3 linked regions of the Sus scrofa genome follow. The protein of the gene in region 3 purifies or fractionates together with the protein of the main gene of each other region. This does not show direct contact. Links are inferred from orthologs where the notes say so. Each region holds a gene or a part of one and is shown on either strand. Other genes may lie near its edges. The genes, in order: SNRPB2, SNRPD1 and SF3B3.

Region 1 (6,552 bases), on a different chromosome or scaffold from region 3:
TTTAAATGGCCTCACCCATGGCAATGGAAGTTTCTGGACCAGAGATTGAGTCTGAGCCACAACTGCAGCAAAGCCCCATCCTTTATAATCTACTGCACCGGGCCAGGGATCGAACCCATGCCTCCATAGCAATCCAAGCTGCTGCAGTTGGGTTCTTAACCCACTAGGCCACAGCAGGAACTCCCTTTCTTTTACATTAGCTAGAGATGAATGTACAGGAGAATGAGAGGGCAGCAGGCCTCCCAGGACCGCTCAGTCCCAAAGGCTTCCTATGAAAGCTCTAGCCACTAGACCACGGACTTAGCTGTGATCAACTCTTGATAATCCTGCATGTCGTCATCTAATGGAAAGGGACAGGTCTGGACTAACTCTGACTTGGTCCCAAGGATTCCTTCCCAGCTACCCTGGGTCTTTAACCTCCTTGTTGACCTAAACAGATCTTGGGTGGTCTTGTATTTGTCCCTGTGGCCTGAGAATACCTCTGCCCTGAATCCTCGCTTTCAGCAGGCTGGTCTGGAGCAGCAGTTCTCAATCAGGGGAGAATCCGCCCCCAGGAGACAGCTGGCAGTGCTGAAAGGGGGCACAGTGGGTTGTCATGCTAAGAGGGCAGAGGCCAGGGGTGCTCTAGACACCTTACAACCAACAAGGCAGCCCCAGCAACTATTCAGTTCAAATACCCCAAGTATCAGATGCTGAAAAGCCCTGGTCTAGACTAAATCCTGGTATAGGATAAAAGTCCATTCACAACTTAGAGAAGGCGCAAGATTTACATTTATTCCAAAGGTTTCATTACAGAAGCCCTTAGGAAGATGGTTCTGTCTTACTGAGCTACTTTGGAAATTAAATATCCAAATATCCTTGAATCACAGAGCATAATTTTGTTCTGAGTTCCAAGTTATATAAATTTTTGTTCATTTCTAATCTGGTATGTTGAGTTAAAGAGCAACTGAAACCACCTAAGTAAAGACAGCTCAAGGAACATTCTTTTCCTTTTCCAGGATGCTGGCGACTTGGCAGCAACTACTACTTTCCTAAAGGCAGAGAATGGACCTCCTAAAATACCTTCAATATGAGATCAGTCTAATGGGCTTTTTCCATTGATTTTAAAAATTTAGTTGGCAAGGTGAAGCCAGGGCCAAACACAGTGAACAATTTTCAGCTTTCCTGGATCTGAGTCAGTCATGCAACCTTGTCATCCCAACTTAGCAAAACAGACCTAAAAACCTCAAGAGGAAAAAACCGTTCCTTCATTCTAATGTAGTTTTAGATTTTAACTAAAACCCAGTCCTATGCTACCACCAAGTGAGATCTCAAGTATGCTATTTTTTCATACTACTGAGAAAGATAAACTGCTTTCAGGAAATGCCAATTAACCGAAAATCAGGGAACGTGGGTCCTACCTCCCAGTTTTCTGGAATGGGACTTTCTACAAATACGGTGCCCAGTCAGGTGGGAAATGATGGGGAAAGGAGAACTGGATAGAGGGTGAGAAGAAAACTTGCTCCAGTAAAACAGAAAGTTCCCAGGCCTGAATTACACAGTGTGGGATAGAGGTCCTCAGACTAACTGACCACAGCCAGCGCTGCCTGTTTTGCACATGAGGTCTTCTTGGAACATGGCCACACTCATTCACCTACCACCATCTATGGCCATAAAGGCAAAGTTAAGTGGCTGCAAAAGAGATCATCTGGCTCATAAAGCCTAAAATATTTACTATCCGGTCCTTTACAGAGAGCATGCTGAATCCTTGTTTAGGGGAGAAAAAAAAAGTCACAGTACTGAGTGTTAGATTAGCCCTTAAATCTTCATACTACTACTGGTATTATTAACATAAGCTTTCTGTGCCTGATTCTTCATTTGTAAAAATAAAGGGATCAGACCAGTGGTCTAAACTACAAGTTATGGGCCAAATCCAGCCTATAACCTGTTTTTGTATGGTCTATGAGTTAAGAACTTTTTTTTTTAAAGGCCACTCCCGCAGCATATGGAAGGTACCAGGCTAGGGGTCAAATCAGAGCTACAGCCACAGCAACTTGGGATTCGAGCTGCATCTGTGACCCATACTACAGCTCATAGCAATGCCAGATCCCTGACCCACTGAGTGAGGCCAGGGATCGAATCCGCATCCTCATGGATACTAGTCGGATTCGTTTCTGCTGTGCCACGACAGGAATGGCAGAAAACTTTTATTTCTTTTTCATTTTTTACAATTTTAAATGATTGTTTTAAAAAAAACCAACAACACACACTCACAAAAGAATAGGCAGCAGAATCTGTACATGGCCCACAAAGCCTAAAATATTTATTACTGGTCCTTTATAGAATTTTTGTTCACCTATGAATAAGAGCAAAGAATATCCAATCTGCTTACATTTTACAGGTGGTGAACGTGTGCACAGAACCAGTTAACAGCAGAACCAGAATGAGAACATGGGTCCTTGAAACTGCAGGACTTGGCTCTTTCCCCAACATCCCTACCCATCACATTCCAATTCCAGTAGAAAAGCACTTGGGAATCCATACCCAGGGTCCTCTGTACGCATTCACAAAGGTAAAACCCTTTGCTACATGCACTGTTCCAACCTAATCCAACCCTCTACCAACTTTGACTTATACCAACGCCTCCTGAGTTCTCTAGTTCCCTTCAATCCCTACCACCATCCAATCTTCACCCAGCAGCTAAATGTGAAATCTCATTATATCACTCCTGAGTTTAAAACTTTCCATATATAACTACTTCATTTCCATTCATTGTCACCCATTAATAAAACCTATGACTTTAAGTCTATGAAGTGTCTTTAGATCACTGCTTTATCTAGATTGCACAGCTTCTGATATACAGTATTTAATTATGGTATTTTCTGAAACTTCAGACTGGATTTCTCTTTGACCTACAATTTTGTTTGTGTTTTACGAGTTTACGAACAGAGGTTTCTTTTTAATCTTCTGAGTAATTATTAATTTCTAGATCTTTTGAGAGGACAGTATTGCCTATACTAACACTGCTTTTAAAATATTCTACATCTCAATGTATTTTGCTTTTGGCTATTTGAACTATCATAAATTAAGTGGTGACTTATAAGCTCTTCTACTACTGTGTTCCTATAAAAATAAATACATAAATAAAATAAGCCCTAACCCACTCTAACATGTAGTTAAAAGCAAAAAACAAGCCATATTTTCAGGGGTGTATTTACAAATCTACCATTTCATTAATAGTGAACAAAGCCAAAATAGTAAGATTGATTTACCATCGGTTTGCCATAAAATGGAAATCCTTGTAACTGTCTCAAGGCATTTGTGGATGAACCCAGTTCCTTAAATATAACAAAGGCTTGCCCCCTCATCTTCATGGTCTTTAAAGCCACAATATCTACCACATGGCCAAACTGAGAAAACAGGGCATACAGGGATCTCTTCAATTCTGCACAAAATTAGAGAGAAACCAGTTATTTGTCAATGAAATGATGACAAGATTCTTCATAAAATGACACTGCACGCACCCCTGCCATTCCCTTATTTATTTATACAAAGTTACATTTTTTAATAAAAATATCATACTATTCACATTGGCTGTCTAATTTTACAAGTTTTTAAAATCATTTGATCTATGAGTGAAAACAAATTCCACACATTTTCAGCCCCCTACTTTTTATCTTTAAAAAGCCTTAAAATCCCCATGCATTAAGGGATAAACCATTATTTCAGGCACTGAGAAAGAGGACTAGATGAGAACTTTTGAAGCAGTTTAATTTTTAAGATGGTGTAAGTAAACACACTTTAGTTACTTTTTAAAAAGCACTTACCTTCTTTTTTAATTTTGTCGTTCATATTGTTGATATAAATTGTATGATTTGGTCTGATATCCATGTTTTGAGTTAAACTGTTCAAACAGCCTAAAGAGATGGTAAATATTCTGTTATAAACAGGGAGAATTCATTGCGTGGTGGTGTGGAATTAAGGACACAAGGTTAACTTTGCAATCTTTTCAATTCCAAATGTCAGAAAATATCAGTTTGGCAACAGTCTAAAACTTCTCCAGAACTTACTAGCCTTTCTCTTGAAATAAAACAAGAACAGTTCTCAGGCTGAAAACTTGGTGGGGCACTATTACCTAGTCAGATTTTAATAATATTCTTTTATTCCACACATTTATTTTTATACTTATCTTTCACTTACAAGTGATACTGTTTTTCCACCTGTTTTTCATTAGTGAAATAATTTTAAAACTTTGTTAAAAAGGAAAAGTAGATTTGAAGAAAAATGAAAAAAGAACTAGCAAATGTACGTCCAGTAAAAATCAAGACGGAACAATAATGAAATTTGCTAAGAACTATTTCACGGGCACTTTCATATTTACTACTTAATTTATATACACCATCACCAACAGTCTTGCCTTGCCTCCAAAGTCACCTGTAACCGACCTGAAATACCAGAGCGGTTGCAAGATGGTTGAGAGCTCAGAATCTAGAGCCAGCCAGATCTGAATTCACGTATGTCTATGCTTCCTACTACCTGCTTGACTGAGGACAAATTACTTAATCTCCCAGGTCCACTCTGAAAAAATGAGATGGGAACAGAATCTACCCAGTAGAGTTTATTTATCTAAATGAGATAAAGTTCTAGCAACACGTTATTAATTTCTATCACAAGCTAATACCTACTTTGTATACATGTAGTCACACAGCTGATTAAACCAGAGATCTGAGAATTCAACCCTTGCTTTCTGTCTCTTGTACTTTTCTTTCACACCCACCACACTATTATTTACAGTTTCAGTTGCAAATTTTGACCTTTATTTTCTTATTGCCCCAGATATTCCTTCATTTCATGAATATTTACACCCACGGTATGTGAACAGCCTAGGTCGACTGACAAGAGCATACAGATGGGGACTGTACTCGTACGTTAACAGGTGAAAGGTAACGGTTCTCAGAGACTTGCGAACCCCTAAACTGACACTGGAAGTCTGGGGCCGCGAAGAAAGCCGGAAGACTAGAGGAGAGGCTCTCGTATTATCTCACGCGATGTTTTACGGAAAGTAGGACTAGCGCCGGGGCACCGGGGTCGCCTCCCTGATCCAAAAGTAAGCCTCCGGCAGGCACCTGAAAATCCAAAGCGAGCCGTAAGGCCCTCACAGCAACCAAGGGACACCAGTTATCCATAACTTCATATGCGCGAGCCTCTCGCCTTTCCAGACCGAGTCACATTCGCCCACGGCCCAGGCCTGAAGCCCCAAGAAGCCGCCACGCGATCTCCGGCCCCGACCCATCCCGCTAAGAGACAAGGTTCCGAAGTCCGGGGACCTCGTCGGACCCGCGCATCAGTTTCCATCCCCCCTCGACCCCTCGGCGACCCTCCCCGAACTCCCGACAGCCAACCATTCAGCCCCAGCACCGCGTTTCGTCCATCCCCTGCTCCAGCAGGGGAGCGTGGTGCCAAGAGGAATCCGCAAGCCCGAAAACGAAGAAAGCGAGGAAGAAAGAGCCTCAACTCACCCCAGACGGTCGCCGCGTCCAGTGCAACCAGGAAACTGGAAGCCGGAAGTGGGGCCGGGCGCCGGAAGTAACACTGCCAAGCGCCTCAATCGAGTACCGACAAATCAAGAAGTCGAGCCCGGAGTGGATCGATAAGCCACAGTCTCCAAGGCGGCAGTTGAGAATCCTTCCGCGCACACGCACGTCTCTCTGGCTGGAAGAAGAGGTGAGAGGGGATGTGGGAGAAGCGAAAGAGGCTTGTGAGGAATGCTGTGGGATTAAACTGGAATCGTGGGACCGCTGAGAAAGGGAACAGCGAAAGGCAGTGATTCATTTACCCATGAGTTTGCGTTGGTCTATCCCATACAACAGGTGCCTTCTGTCTTTCCAAATGCTTTACAGATCTTTACATATAGTTACGTCCTGACAAGCCCATCTGTAAATTGAAAACTTTGTAAGACGCAAATGCACTTAATACGCTTAACTTGCCATACATCACAACTTATTAGCCCAGCCTACCTGAAGTGCTCAGAACCCTCACATTAACCTACAGTTGCACAAAATCATCTCGTGTAACTCAGTGAATATTGTACTGAAAGTGCAAAACACAGTGGTAGTGTGGCTCACCCTTGTGGTCCCATAGTGGCTGGGAGCTTTGGCTTGCTGTCCAGCATCAGGACACTGTGTCTACCGCATATCAAAAGCCTAGAAAAAGATCAAAATTCAAAATTTAAAGTCTGGTTTTCATTGAATGCTTATCACTTTTGCACCTTTGTAAAGTCAAACAATCTTAAGTCGAACCGTCATAAGTCAGGGACCCTTTGAATAGTTTTACAAGTGCAGCACCTATTGTCCACTGCAGGGGAAAGTGCCCTGATTTCCCTTCTCCAGAGGGCTGCCTCCACCTCCAGGTGGCTGCCCCCACCTTCAGGCAGCCGGTACCCTCCACCCACCCAAGTCTCTTCCAATTCTTGAGACTCTGAGGGAACTCTTCTCCAACATTCTACTGAAGAGCTTAAATCCCAGAAGCAGCTAATCTGTGTTCCCACGTTGGAGGGAATTGATGTCTCTGTCC
Region 2 (6,552 bases), about 93 Mb from region 3:
ATGCAGAATCTGAGCCGCATCTGCAACCTACACCACAGCTCACTGCAACACTGGATTCTTTTTACCCACTGCACTGCTCAGGGGATCAAACCTGTGCCTCAGCAGAGACCTCGGGCCACCTCAGAGACAACACAGGAGGTGTTGACCCTATGTGCTACAGTGGGAACTCCTAAATTATTTTCTGATGAATCCTTCACTATCTGAATTTTTTCTACTCACTGAAATTTAGATATTCAGGTAATACTCAGATAATAGGACAAAATGGTATCCTTCAGTATCCAAAGCCACATTATTTAAAAATTCAAAAATCAGGAGTTCTTGTCATGGCCCAGTGGTAACAAATCCAACTAGTATCTACTACAGGTTCAATCCCTGGCCTCATTCAGTGGGTTAAGGATCCAGCGTTGCCGTATAGATCACAGACAAAGCTTGGATTCCAGTCGCTGTGGCTGGAATTCAGATACGTCCCATAGCCTGGGAACTTCCGTATGTCATGGATGCAGTCCTAAAAAGACCAAAAAAAAATTTTTTTAATATAAATAAAAAACAAAAATTAAAAAATCAAGATAACAGGATAGTGAGATACTTTATTAAACAGGTTAAAAACACCAAAACCTGGCAATTTATCACATTATCAGGATTACTGAGAGAGCTAAGTCAAGGAGTTCCCCTCACGGCTTAGCGGTTAGTGAACCCAACTAGCATCGCTGGCCTTGCTGTAGGTTAAGGATCTGGCGTTGCCATGAGCTGTGGTATAGGTCACAGACGCAGCTCAGATCCTATGTTGCTGTGGCTGTGGAACAGGCCATTGGCTATAGCTCAGACTGGATCCCTAGCAAACTAGTTATACAAAACCCATTTTCCCAGTGCAAAATACATTCTCCAATTATTAGGAATTTTGCTTCTATAGTCTAAGACACAGAATAGGATTCAGTACAGCATTAATATTTATAGGAGGAGTTCCTGTCGTGGTGCAGTGGTTAACGAACACGACTAGGAACCATGAGGTTTCGGGTTCAATCTCTGGCCTCACTCAGTGGATTAAGGATCTGGTGTTGCCATAAGCTGTGGTGTAGATCACAGATGCGGCTTGGATCCCAAGTTGCTGTGGCTCTGTCGTAGGCCGGTGGCTACATCTATGATTAGACTTGGGAACCTCCATATGCCGAAGGTGCGGCCCCAGAAAAGACCAAAAAAAAAAAAAAAAAAAAAAAAAAATTTTATAGGAAAATTCTGTCACAACATGGACTATCGTTAAGTGGGACAAAAGACTCCAAAGAGTATTATCTATACTAAGACTCTGACTGGCAAGTATTCAGACATTAAGAAAATAAACTTTAGGAGTTCCTGTCGGGATACAGCTACAATGAATCCGACTAGGAACCATGAGGTTGTAGGTTCAATCCCTGGCCTCGATCAGTGTGTTAAGGATCTGGCGTTGCCATGAGCTGTGGTGTGGACTGCAGACATGGCTGGATCTGGCGTTGCTGTGGCTGTGGCGTAGGCTGGCATCTGTTGCTCTGATTAGACCCCTAACCTGGGAACTTCCATATGCCGTGGATGTGACCCTAAAAAAAAGAAAAAAAAATAAACTTTAAGTTCTGAGATGTTTACCTTCAAAGTTATACCTCAAATAAAATGGACAAAGTCTTTCAGTTATAAGTAAGAACTAGAAATGTAATATGCAATATGATAAATGTAATCAATACTGCTGTATGTTATATATTAAAGTTGTTGAGAGTAAATCATGAGTTCTCATCAGAAGAAAAAAAATTTTTTTGTCTATTTCTTTAATTTTATATCTACATGAGATGATGGATGTTCACTACACTCTTTATGATGTACGTAAATCAAATCATTATGCTGTGGGAGTTCCCTCGTGGTGCAGCTGGTCAATAAAGAAAGAATCCAGTGTTGTCATTGCAGCCTTGGGTTGCTGCTATGGCACAGGTTCGATACCTGGCCTGGGAACTTCCACATGCCTTTGGCACGGCCAAAAAAAATCATTATGTTATATACCTTAAAGTTACACAATGCTGAAAGCCAGTTACATCTCAATAAAACTGGAAGGGAAAAAAATAGACAAAAAGTCAATCTTAAATGCCTTCTCTACAAACACCAGCCTGAATATGACAATGAGGATTCTTTATGTTATCTCAAACTATCTTCTTGTCTATCTTCTCTGCAAAACGAACGCTACTACAACATAGGACTCTTTAAGGGGGGGGTGGGCTACTGCTGTAGCACAACTGGGATTCTTGGCGTCTCTGGAGCACTGGGATGCAGGTTCGATCCCCAGTTCAATCCCCACCGGCACAGTCCAGCATTGCTGCAGTTGCCGAGTAGGTTGCAAATGCAGCTAGGATGTGTTCCCTGGTCCAAGAACTCCATGTGCTTAACTATTTGGTCGACATTGACAATTCTTGACTCAACAGACAATAAACTAGTTAAGCTAGTTTATAACTGCCGGCTGAGTTGTAAAAGCCTCTGCTTCTATGTTCCAGGCTCTCAGCCTCAAGGAGAAACATCAGAACTCAATCTATTTGCAGGTAGTTTTTGTGATGAATTAGCTCAACCAGTAAACGAGTCTTCAGCAGGCTCAACTAATCGACCAAATTTAAATACAGAAATAAACAGAATAAATCTCGATTATCTGTGTAATCAGCCAAAAAGTACGGAAGAGTGATTCTACCCCATATTGAGAGGTTTTTTCCTAAATCAAAGGGCTATTTTAAAGGGAAATGTAAGTTGAATAATCTTAAGGCTAGGGAATAACAACAAGAGGGAAAAAAAACACTATTAAAAAAAAAAAAAACCTCAGGAAATCAGAAGTCCATCCCTGATCCCTGATTTAAAATACTTCGGAATTGGATTTCATTATCTCCAGATAAACCCCTGCAGCTTCTAAGTACTCTTTTAAGTGTGACGGTAGTTTCATTAAAAAATATGCATTAATTTAAACTACTTGTGCAGGATGTACAATTTTTATGTCTCCCACGTTCTCAGGAAGCGTGGACCTAGTTAAATTTGCCGGTTCCTGAGTGCTGAGACGAGCCAGAAACGTTCTAACAGAAACGGAAGTCTGTAACTCACCGAAAGTAAGAGCTTGTAAGCCTGGCTCTGTACTTTTAAGGCCTCTAAGACACCTGATGGGAAAACACCGCCCGGCCTTCAACCTCTCGGAAGACCCGCAGATCCCTGGGCGACCCAGTCTGAAGCCTGGTCGAGTGCCCGCGGCGACGCGACCAAGATGGGGCGGGAGCGGCGGGCGCCGAAGGCCGTTAGCAGGCCGCGCGCGCACGCGGCTTTCGCGCCTCCTGCATCTCGGGCAGCTCAACCCCCCCGCTCCCGGTCCAGGACATCCCCTCATAGTACCCACCCTGCTCGGTCACCTCCTCACCTCACGAGCTTCATCCTCTCGGTCCGATAGTACACAAAACCCCACCGCAGAGGCCGACCCGCAGGGAGAATGAATGACCGGAAACGCTTACTCCCGGGGATCGACGTAAAGAGCGCGCGGATCCCTGCGCACTCACGGCGGAAACGCCGAGGCTGCGCTTGGGCCACTCTCCCTTCCGGCCGCGAGTAGCGCCAGTGCGGCCTCTGGCGGCAGGAGGTGTGCCTTGCAACTGTTAAGGGCGTTTAGGGCCGATCCAGGAGGAAACTTCCTGTAAGAGAGAGTATTTCAGGAAATTAAATCCTATTAGCGAGCATAACAAGGCTCCGGGTATTATGTAGCACCAAATTTTCTCGTGAATGAAAGGAAATAATTGGAGAATCCCAAAGGATTATGCTCCACCACCAGGTATCTCAGCGTTACTTAATGTGCTGAAGAAAATCATACAATTTAACTGATTATTTTCACTTTAAATTCTGGTCACAAACCTCAAAAGTGTCCCTTGCACTGCCCAGAGATCGTTATGCTTCTCTAATAAGCTCACAAAGTATTTCATACCTTCTTTCTTCTCTTTATCTCAAACCTTTTACAGTTCTTCTCCCAAATCACTCTCTAACGTATCCTACTTTTAGAAAACAGAAGCCATCCTTCTGCTTCCCTTTCTGTGACAACGATAGAAGTATTATTGCTCCTTTGGAAAGCAAATTCCTCTTGGTTGTAGTCTGGATCCCATCTCATTTCCTCAAGAATTTCACTCCTTCAATGATCCCCTTCTAATTTGAATCATCAATTCCTCCTTCTCTACTGATTTTTTCTATCAACATATAAATTTATCTAAAAAACAAACAAGCAACGAGTTCCCACTGTGGCGCAACAGGATTGGGCAGCATCTCTGCAGCTCCAGGACGCGGGTTTGATGTCCAGCCCTGCATTGCTACAGCTGGCTGTAGTGTGGGTTCCAACTGTAGGTTGGATCTGATTCCTGGTCTGGGAACTCCATATGCCTCGGAGATGGCCAAAAATGGAAAAAGAAAAAAAGGAAAGGAAGAAAGAAAAAATTTTGTAGTGCCAGTTGTGGGAACTCGGCAGGGTAAGAACCTGACTAGTATTCATGAGGATGTGGGATCTATCCCTGGCCTCATTCAGTGGGTTACGGCTCCAGTGTTGCCACAAGCTGCAGCGTAGTTCACAGATGCAGCTCAGATCCAGTGTTGCCGTAGCTGTAGTGTAGGCCTCAGCTGCAGCTCTGATTCAAGCTTCCATTTGCTGCAGGTGAGGTCTTAAAAAAAAAAAATTCTCCTCTCATGCAGCTCTAGCTCCCACCAGATTTCTTCCACAGAAAACCTCCTTAAATGAGCTGTCTATAACTTGTTTTTATTGCCTTGTAATTCGATCTTCAAATACACTGAGATTGCTTTTCTAATGGTGATCAAAAACCCAATACAAACTTCTGTCTTCCTCTTACTCAGCATCTCAGCAGCATTCAAAACAGACACTCTCCTTTGAAACATGCTCCTTTCTTGGCTTCCAGGATGCCAAGTATGCCTGGTTTTAATTCAATCTCACTAATGACTCTTTCTAGGTCTCCTTAGGCTGCCTCATTGTCTCCTGAGCCATTACATGCTGGAGTGCTTCTTGGCTTACCCTCAGCGTAGTCTCTTCATGGATACTTTCTCCTTTAGCCTAGGTGATCTCCCAAACCACAGCTTTAATATGTATCTCAGGACTTCATCCCTGGTCATCAGAATTCTTGAATGTTGTGAGGCAATGCTCATCAAACATTAATGTGCATAAAAAAAAATGGAGTTCCCGTCGTGGTGCAGTGGTTAACGAATCCGACTAGGAACCATGAGGTTTCGGGTTCGATCCCTGCCCTTGCTCAGTGGGTTAACGATCCGGCGTTGCCCTGAGCTGTGGTGTAGGTCGCAGACGTGGCTCGGATCCTGCGTTGCTGTGGCTCTGGAGTAGGCTGGCAGCTACAGCTCTGATTCGACCCCTAGCCTGGAAACCTCCATGTGCCTCGGAAGCGGCTCAAGAAATGGCTAAAAGACAAAAAAAAAAAAAAAAAAAAAAAATTAATGTGCATAAGACTCACCTGGAGGAAACTTTAGAATGAAAATTATGATTCCATTGGTATGGGATCTGAAATTCTGCATTTCTAACAAAACTTCAGTTGATGAAGATGAACTGAATCCCTAGACCATGAATCTCCATTTGGGTAGTAAGCAATTAATGTACATATGTGTGCTGCTTTCTTAATACCTATTCCCCTGTCTTTCCAACAGTTTCTAAGAATCTCCTAGAGATCCATGTGGTCATATGGGAGCTGACTCTACTCTTATGTCAATCACCACATTCCATTACTTGTCCACAGTGGGCATGGGATGTAGCCTGATCCAATCAGTCACTGTAGAGAACTCTGCTTTTGGAGGTGAATGGAGAGATAGAGCTATTGGGAACTTTTTTGTTTTGTTTTGTTTTGTTTTTGTCTTTTTGCCGTTTCTTGGGCTGCTTCCACGACATATGGAGGTTCCCAGGCTAGGGGTCTAATTGGAGCTGTAGCTGCCAACCTACGCCAAAGCCACAGCAACGCAGGATCCGAGCCACGTCTGCGACCTACACCACAGCTCACGGCAACGCCGGATCGTTAACCCACTGAGCAAGGGCAGGGACCGAACCCGCAACCTTATGGTTCCTAGTCGGATTCTTTAACCACTGTGCCACGATGGGAACTCCTCCTTTCTACCTTAAAACTTTCTTACATGCTCTTACCTCCATGTAGCTAGTCTCCCCCCTTCCCTACCTCCAACCTGACTTCTTTAGGTATCTCACATTAGAAACCCTCTGGCTTCTAGCCTCCGCTTCCTGTTGTTTTATGAAATGTTATATGTTTGCTGTTTTTTCACAAAATTCTTAGCAGCAGAATTACAAACGTATATGCTGTTTATAGAATAGATATTTTCCTCTTTAGAATAGAAATTCTTTGAGGGACAGTCTCTGTTTTGCCTAATTCTCTATACCTGGAACTTACTCTAATGCCTGACATATAGTTGGTGCTTCATACATGTTTATGAAATGAAAGCCAGAACTCCTTTAGTGTGGGAATTTTTTTCCTTGCTGCAGTCTCTTATTTTTGTTTTGTTTTGTTTTTTGTT
Region 3 (6,552 bases):
ATCAAAGAAAAGCTTCCTAAAAACAGTCACGCAAGTTTTGTTGTTTTTTTTTTTAAAAAAAACCTTGTTCTTGGGAGTTCCCACTGAGGCACAGTGAGTTAAGAATCCAACTGCAGCAGCTGAGGTCGCTGCAGAGGCTCAGGTTTGATTCCCCAGCACAGTGGGTTAAAGGATCTGCTGTTGTCACAGCTATGGTGTAGGTCAAGGTGTGGCTCAAGATTCAATCCCTGGCAGGGGAACGTCCAAATGTCACAGGTATGTCCATTTAAACACACACACACACTTTTTTTTTCCTCTAAGATTTGCCATCAATCAGCATAATTAAGTTGTCTGTAATACATATGTTTAACTTCATAAAATTAAAAACTTTCAAAGGCACCTTCTAGCCCACCTTTAAGGTAACTGCTCTAAGAAATCATATTAACTCTGATAAAGTGTCTCAAAGAACTTTTAAAACTGCCGCACCAAAAAAAGAAAAAAAAAGGCAATTTGAGGCAAAACTACTAATATCAAAAATTTTAGGAGTTCCCATCGTGGCGCAGTGGTTAACGAATCCGACTAGGAACCATGAGGTTGCGGGTTCGGTCCCTGCCCTTGCTCAGTGGGTTAACGATCCGGCGTTGCCGTGAGCTGTGGTGTAGGTCGCAGGCGCGGCTTGGATCCCGCGTTGCTGTGGCTCTGGCATAGGCCGGTGGCTACAGCTCCAATTCGACCCCTAGCCTGGGAACCTCCATATGCCGCGGGAGCGGCCCAAAGAAATAGCAAAAGACAAAAAAAAAAAAAAAAATTTTAAACTCAGATAGTAGCAGAACTTACCAGAGAAGTTTCCATGAATGGCAAAGCTGATGCCAGTGGCTCGCTGCAAGGTCAAGTTGTACAGGAACATGGTGGCAGTAATACTGAGCCACCTATAGCTCCACAATCCAGGCCTTGATTATAACCAAGTCCAAGCAAGCTAAAAGCACATAAAAGCAGAAAAATACCAGCTTTGAAATTATTTTAACAGACATTTCCGTATGGGAACTTCTAGGTGAAGACAGCGTAACTAATAAAGTAAGACATACAACATTACTTATAATTAAGAGTACCTTCTACTTCATTTTCACTGCAGCAGCTTGGGTCACTGCTGTGGCAAGTGTTTGATCCCTGGTCTGGGAACTTCCACAAGACGCAGGTGTGGTCAAAAAAAAAAAAAAACAAAAAACAGAGTGCCTTCTACATGTCAGGCACTATGCTTCATACTGTTTCTTTTTTTAAAAAAATTTTTATTATAGTTGATTTACAATGTTCCATCAATCATACTGTTTCTAATCTCACAAGACACATATAAAGTATTCATTATACTAATTTTACAGATGAAATTGAGCTGAAAAAGTACACCGTAAATCAACTATTCTTTAATTAAAAAAAAAAAAGAAATTAAATTGTCTCCTTGAGATTACATAAGTAGTAAAAACAGGAGTGCCCGTCGTGGCTCAGTGGTTCACGAATCTGACTAGGAACCATGAGGTTTCAGGTTCGATCCCTCGCCTCGCTCAGTGGGTTTAAGGATCCGGCGCTGCTGTGAGCTGTGGTATAGGTCGAAGAGGCGGCTCAGATCTGGCGTTGGCCAGCAGCTGTAGCTCCAATTCGACCCCTAGCCTGGTAACCTCCATATGCCACGGGTGCTGCTCTAAAAAGACAAAAAAAAAAAAAAAAAAAAAAAAAGAAGAAGTAGTAGTAGTAAAAACATTGGGAGCTGGAATCTGTACCATTAATCCAACACCATTTGATTTTACTGTCTCAAAACCACATAGATCTATATTTACTTGTATTTGAATAGGCTCTACTTTCACGTGGTTCAGAATTCAAAAGCACAGCAAAAAGCTCACTCCACCCATGCCCTAGCCATCCAGTTTTTCCTCCCTGGACGAATCAATTTCACCAAGTTATACCGTGTCCTTACAGATATTTTCTGTATGTACAAAAAAAAAACATACATTAACGCTGTATTTTATCCCTTCTATTTAACTAAAGGTTGGGTACCATAAATCATACACTCACATTATGGTGCAACTGTTTTTAATTACTTTACCTATCTTGGACATAGCAGTAAGCAAAATGTTTTCTCATTTTTATATTAAGGCTGTGGAGTATTCCACTGAATGCATCTATTAGGATTTATTTAGCCAACACTCTCCTGAGGAACATTTAGGTTCTTCCCGATCTCTTGCAATTATAAACACTGCTACAAAGAAAATCACTCATATACAGACCATTTATAAGTGCATTAACAGTATCTCTAAGATTAACTGCTAGAAATCCAATTTCAGGATTGAGGACCTCATATATTTGAAATTCAGAGACAGTGTCAAATTACCTTCCAAAGAAGCTCTACCAATATATCTCCAGCAATATATGGGTCTCTATAATTCTCCACAACCAGACCTCTGCTGATTTAACAGATAAAAACTGGTAACTTGGGAGTTTCCATCGTGGCTCAGTGGTTAATGAATCCAACTAGGAACCATGAGGTTTCGGGTTCTGATCCCTGGCCTTGCTCAGTGGGTTAAGGATCCAGAGTTGCTGTGGAGCTGTGGTGCAGGCCACAGAAATGGCTCCAATTAGATCCCCTAGCCTGGGAACCTCCATATGCTGCTTGGGTGCAGCCCTAAAAAGCAAAACAAACAAACAAAAAACTGGTAACTTAAGTGTAGTTTTCATTTGCATCTCCTATACAGCTCTATATTTAAGGAGTGACTAAAATTTAGAATTTAAACTTATGTATCATCAAAAACTAAAAACCGAAATGCGACCCCAGAATGAAGCCTCCACAAAAGAATATACAAAGAAAAGGATTCTTCTTAGGACTCAAGACTGCAAACTGAGGTATCTTCACCATAAAAGTACCTATACATTTACCACTGGAAAATAAACTGAACTATTTTCCCTCAATTATTCAGAGACAAAAGCAAAGAATCTCGAGAAGTTCAAAGCTTACAATTGTATCTGTAATTAGCATGCAAATTTGGTTTTGTTAAATGAGAAAAGTTGAATGGAGTCTCAGACATAATTTATTCTCTTGCATCTCACTCCAGTTATAAAATTTCAAACATAATTTCAAACTTGCAGTTATCAAGAACAAAATTTACAACGAAACCCCTACCTTGTTGTGAATGTGATCTATATTGTAGGGTTGACTGTATGAAAGATACAGAATCTTTCAGAAAACAAACATAGGAAACCAAAGACCACTTCGGAAGCTTGGAAAACCTTCTCCTAGGCTACTTTTCGCCCTTTATAACTTACTGAAAAACTCAGCCTACTTTCTAGTTCCTTTACAACTAACAGCATCTAGTACAAACTTTGGAATTTATTTTCCCAAAACCTAGCTGGACCCAGGTTCCCCAACTATTCTTTTATCTTGGGTAACAAGGGAAATTGCATTTCAGAGGAAGATCAACCAAGCACTACATACCGGAAACTAGTAACGACCAAAACTTGGTAAATTTTGATTTCCCCCAATTCTACCTGCTGTCTATGAATATTAGGAAATGAGCCTGTGATTGCTCCTCCACCCCTTCTCCATGTACGAGAAGAACATCACCGCATTTAAACTCTGCAAAGTCTTCAAGATAGATATAATTATCCCCATTTTTGCAAGCGATAAACTGAGGATCAAAGAAGGAAATGAGTTGCCCAAGCACCAAAGCACAAATACAAAGGGTCTAGATTTCAAAGACTGTTTCCGTCCTTGACACTTTTAACACCCTTGATCTTTCACCTCCCCGTCGGTGTGCCGTTTACTTTCTCCAGTGGAAAACGTCTCTCCCGCCCCTTCTTACATCTCCCCCAAAGCCTAAAAGCTACGCAGTCTCTAGAAAGCTTATTTTGAGCTAGGCTTAGTTCCCACAGTGCGAACGGTCGCGAAACACAAGTTCGTGAAGCTGCCCTCCTGCGTTCCCCTCCATCACCTCCTAGACGCTTGCCCATAGTCCTCGGGCCTAAACTCTCTCAGAAACCCTTACAAAAGGCTCGGCCCACCCTTCTACATGGCCGCTCTCCACCTCTTCAGGCCTAGGGAGGTCAGAAAGCTGCTTCTTTACCCTGAAGCCAGGAGGATGGCGCAGATATCCAACAGATCCTCAGTCCCCTCAAGGCCTAATCCGCCGCTAAGCCCAAGCCGCCGGCATCCGCCATTAGCTCCTAAAACAGGGACCTTCCGATTGGCGCGCGACGGAAAAAAGGTCCTCAACCGGCGCCTGAAGAATGTACATATAAATCTCTTTAATGCTTCAGTCTTGCTTCCACGCCGCACGAAAAATTACTTAAACATATTTTTATGACTGTCACTTTTCCCAGGAAAATAGGGAATTAATAGACCTTTTTAAGTAGGCTTTTAAAAACATATATACAAATTCACTAGGCACTCCCGTGGGCAGCCCCAAGGACGTGGCGCGCCTACGAGGAGGGGGCCTCCCAGGGCCGGAAGCGCGGAATGGGAATCAAGATGGCGGACCTCGATTCTCCTCAGAAGCTGTCAGGGGTGCCTCCGCCGCCTGAAGGCGTGGGAGGAGGCCGCTGCTCGGAAATCTCCACAGAGCTCATTCGCTCTCTGACTGAGCTTCAGGAGCTGGAGGCTGTGTACGAACGGCTCTGCGGCGAGGAGGTGGGGGGCTGAGCTTCTCTTTCCAGGAGGATACAGGGGCAGTGGGCCTAGGAGCCGTCATTCTTGGGAAATCAGGGCTGTGGGAAGTTCTTTTCTTTACGAGGAAACAAAAAAAGCATCTACTCGAGAAGCAGGAGTGTGGTTGAATGTAATTGGGGCGATCCGACATCTCCGTCTGATGCCCCCAAGCATATTTTCGTGTTGTCTGGGCGATCTGCCCCGCCCCCTGTTGATTTCCCTGGCCCTTAATCATTAGATTTCTCCGCGGTCCTAAAGTTAGACTTAAGGGCATCTCCTCACACGCTTGCTTTTCATAATAAGAATAAAGGCTTTGTTGTAAGGGCTTATAAATTTTAAAGTGATGAAACGCTTTCACCTTACCTCATTTCAGCAAGAAATCATTGTAAATAAACAAAGCGTTTTAAGACTTTCTACTGTGGGAAATGATTTGGGGGTGTAATTTTAGCGTTTCAGTTCAATGCAGGGCTTTGTAGAATCTTGAGATGTTAAAACTCAGAAACAACTGTCTAATCGTGAATAAGTTATTTCAGTTCTTGTAGCTACCCCTGCATAGCGTCAAACCAGGGGCACTGGCTATATTATGTCCAGCAGCCTTCCTCACTTTTCCATGAAACTTAATGCTGTCAGTACTTTTTTTTTTTTTTTTTTTACTTTTTCGGGCTGAACCCGCGGCATATGGAAGTTCCCAGGCTAGGGGTGGAATCGGAGCTGTAGCTGCTGCCTATGCCACACCACAGCAATGCTAGATCCAAGCGGTGTCTGTGACCTACACCACAGGTCACTGGCACTGCTGGATCCTTAACCCACTGTTTGAGTTCGGGGATCAAACCCGCATCCTCATGGATGCTAGTCAGGTTTGTTAACTGCTGAGCCACAACAGGATCTCCCGTCAGTACTTTTTTTTTTTTTTTTGCTACACCCACTCTATGTAGAAGTTCCCAGGCCAAGGGTCAAATCCCCTCACAGCAGCAACCCAAACCACTGCAGTGACAACACCAGATCCTTAACCCACTGAGGGAGGCCAGGGATGGAACCTGCATCCTCATGGATCCTAGTCAGATTCATTTCCACTGAGCCACGGCGGGAACTCTCTTTGAGAGTTTTCAAGTATTAATTTATACCAATGCCGATAGACTTTTCAGCAAGATGTACTTTATAAAATTCAATACTCTTAACATTCCTAAGCTTGCATTCATTGAATCGGTCAGTATGTTAGGAAAAAAATTAAGTTGATCTTACAGACAGAACAATATTAGTTTTGGTTTTTGTTTGTTTTTCCCTTTTTTAGGGCTACAGCCGCAGCATATGGAAATTCCCAGGCTAGGGGTCAAATCAGAGCTGTAGCCACCAGCCTACGCCACAGCTCACAGCAACACCAGATCCTTAACCCAGTGAATGAAGCCAGGGATCAAACCTGGGTCCCCATGGTTACTAGTCAGATTTGTTTCTGCTGAACCATGACAGGAACTCCCTATCCTTTATATTTTAAATGCCTTCCTGTGTGAGGCATTTTGCCAATGAAATTGAATAAAGGTTTCTTTTCTCCCTCCGTGGTGTTCATCTCCTAGATGGAATAAGATACACATAAGGTAACATTATTTAATTTGATAAGTGCAAAAATGAAGTATTGTTTGTTAAAGTTCTATAGGAGTTTAGTGAAAGGAAAGAAGACATTTGAAGTGGGATTTACCCTTTAGCTAAGTGGTTGGATTAGATAATGCTTAGGGTTCCTTTTGACCATGCTAACAAAAGAATGTTTCTCTGTCTTTCAGAAAGTGGTGGAGAGAGAGCTGGATGCTCTCTTGGAACAGCAAAACACCATTGAAAGTAAAATGGTCACTCTCCACCGGATGGGGTGAGTCTACATATCAGGACAAGCTATT

Evidence for each region.
Region 1: the proteins of SF3B3 (region 3) and SNRPB2 purify together in Homo sapiens (affinity purification with mass spectrometry; 4 studies listed by BioGRID and IntAct, with this or other methods). This does not show direct contact. The link is inferred for Sus scrofa from reciprocal best matches to the Homo sapiens genes SF3B3 and SNRPB2.
Region 2: the proteins of SF3B3 (region 3) and SNRPD1 fractionate together in Homo sapiens (co-fractionation; 4 studies listed by BioGRID and IntAct, with this or other methods). This does not show direct contact. The link is inferred for Sus scrofa from reciprocal best matches to the Homo sapiens genes SF3B3 and SNRPD1.

Annotation. Positions count from the first base shown.
Region 1 is NC_010459.5:25,362,149-25,368,700, reverse strand, and holds the start of SNRPB2 (uncharacterized protein LOC768116), read right to left. Parts: upstream 3,871-6,552; coding exon 3,807-3,870; intron 3,425-3,806; coding exon 3,252-3,424; intron 1-3,251. UniProt on the Homo sapiens protein: Involved in pre-mRNA splicing as component of the spliceosome. Associated with sn-RNP U2, where it contributes to the binding of stem loop IV of U2 snRNA.
Region 2 is NC_010448.4:106,795,207-106,801,758, reverse strand, and holds the start of SNRPD1 (small nuclear ribonucleoprotein Sm D1), read right to left. Parts: upstream 3,559-6,552; 5' UTR 3,415-3,558; coding exon 3,401-3,414; exon of another isoform or gene 3,380-3,400; intron 3,169-3,379; exon of another isoform or gene 3,094-3,168; intron 1-3,093. UniProt on the Homo sapiens protein: Plays a role in pre-mRNA splicing as a core component of the spliceosomal U1, U2, U4 and U5 small nuclear ribonucleoproteins (snRNPs), the building blocks of the spliceosome.
Region 3 is NC_010448.4:13,522,361-13,528,912, reverse strand, and holds the start of SF3B3 (splicing factor 3B subunit 3), read right to left. Parts: upstream 4,395-6,552; 5' UTR 4,086-4,394; intron 4,046-4,085; exon of another isoform or gene 4,024-4,045; intron 3,180-4,023; exon of another isoform or gene 3,146-3,179; intron 956-3,145; 5' UTR 887-955; coding exon 817-886; intron 1-816. UniProt on the Homo sapiens protein: Component of the 17S U2 SnRNP complex of the spliceosome, a large ribonucleoprotein complex that removes introns from transcribed pre-mRNAs.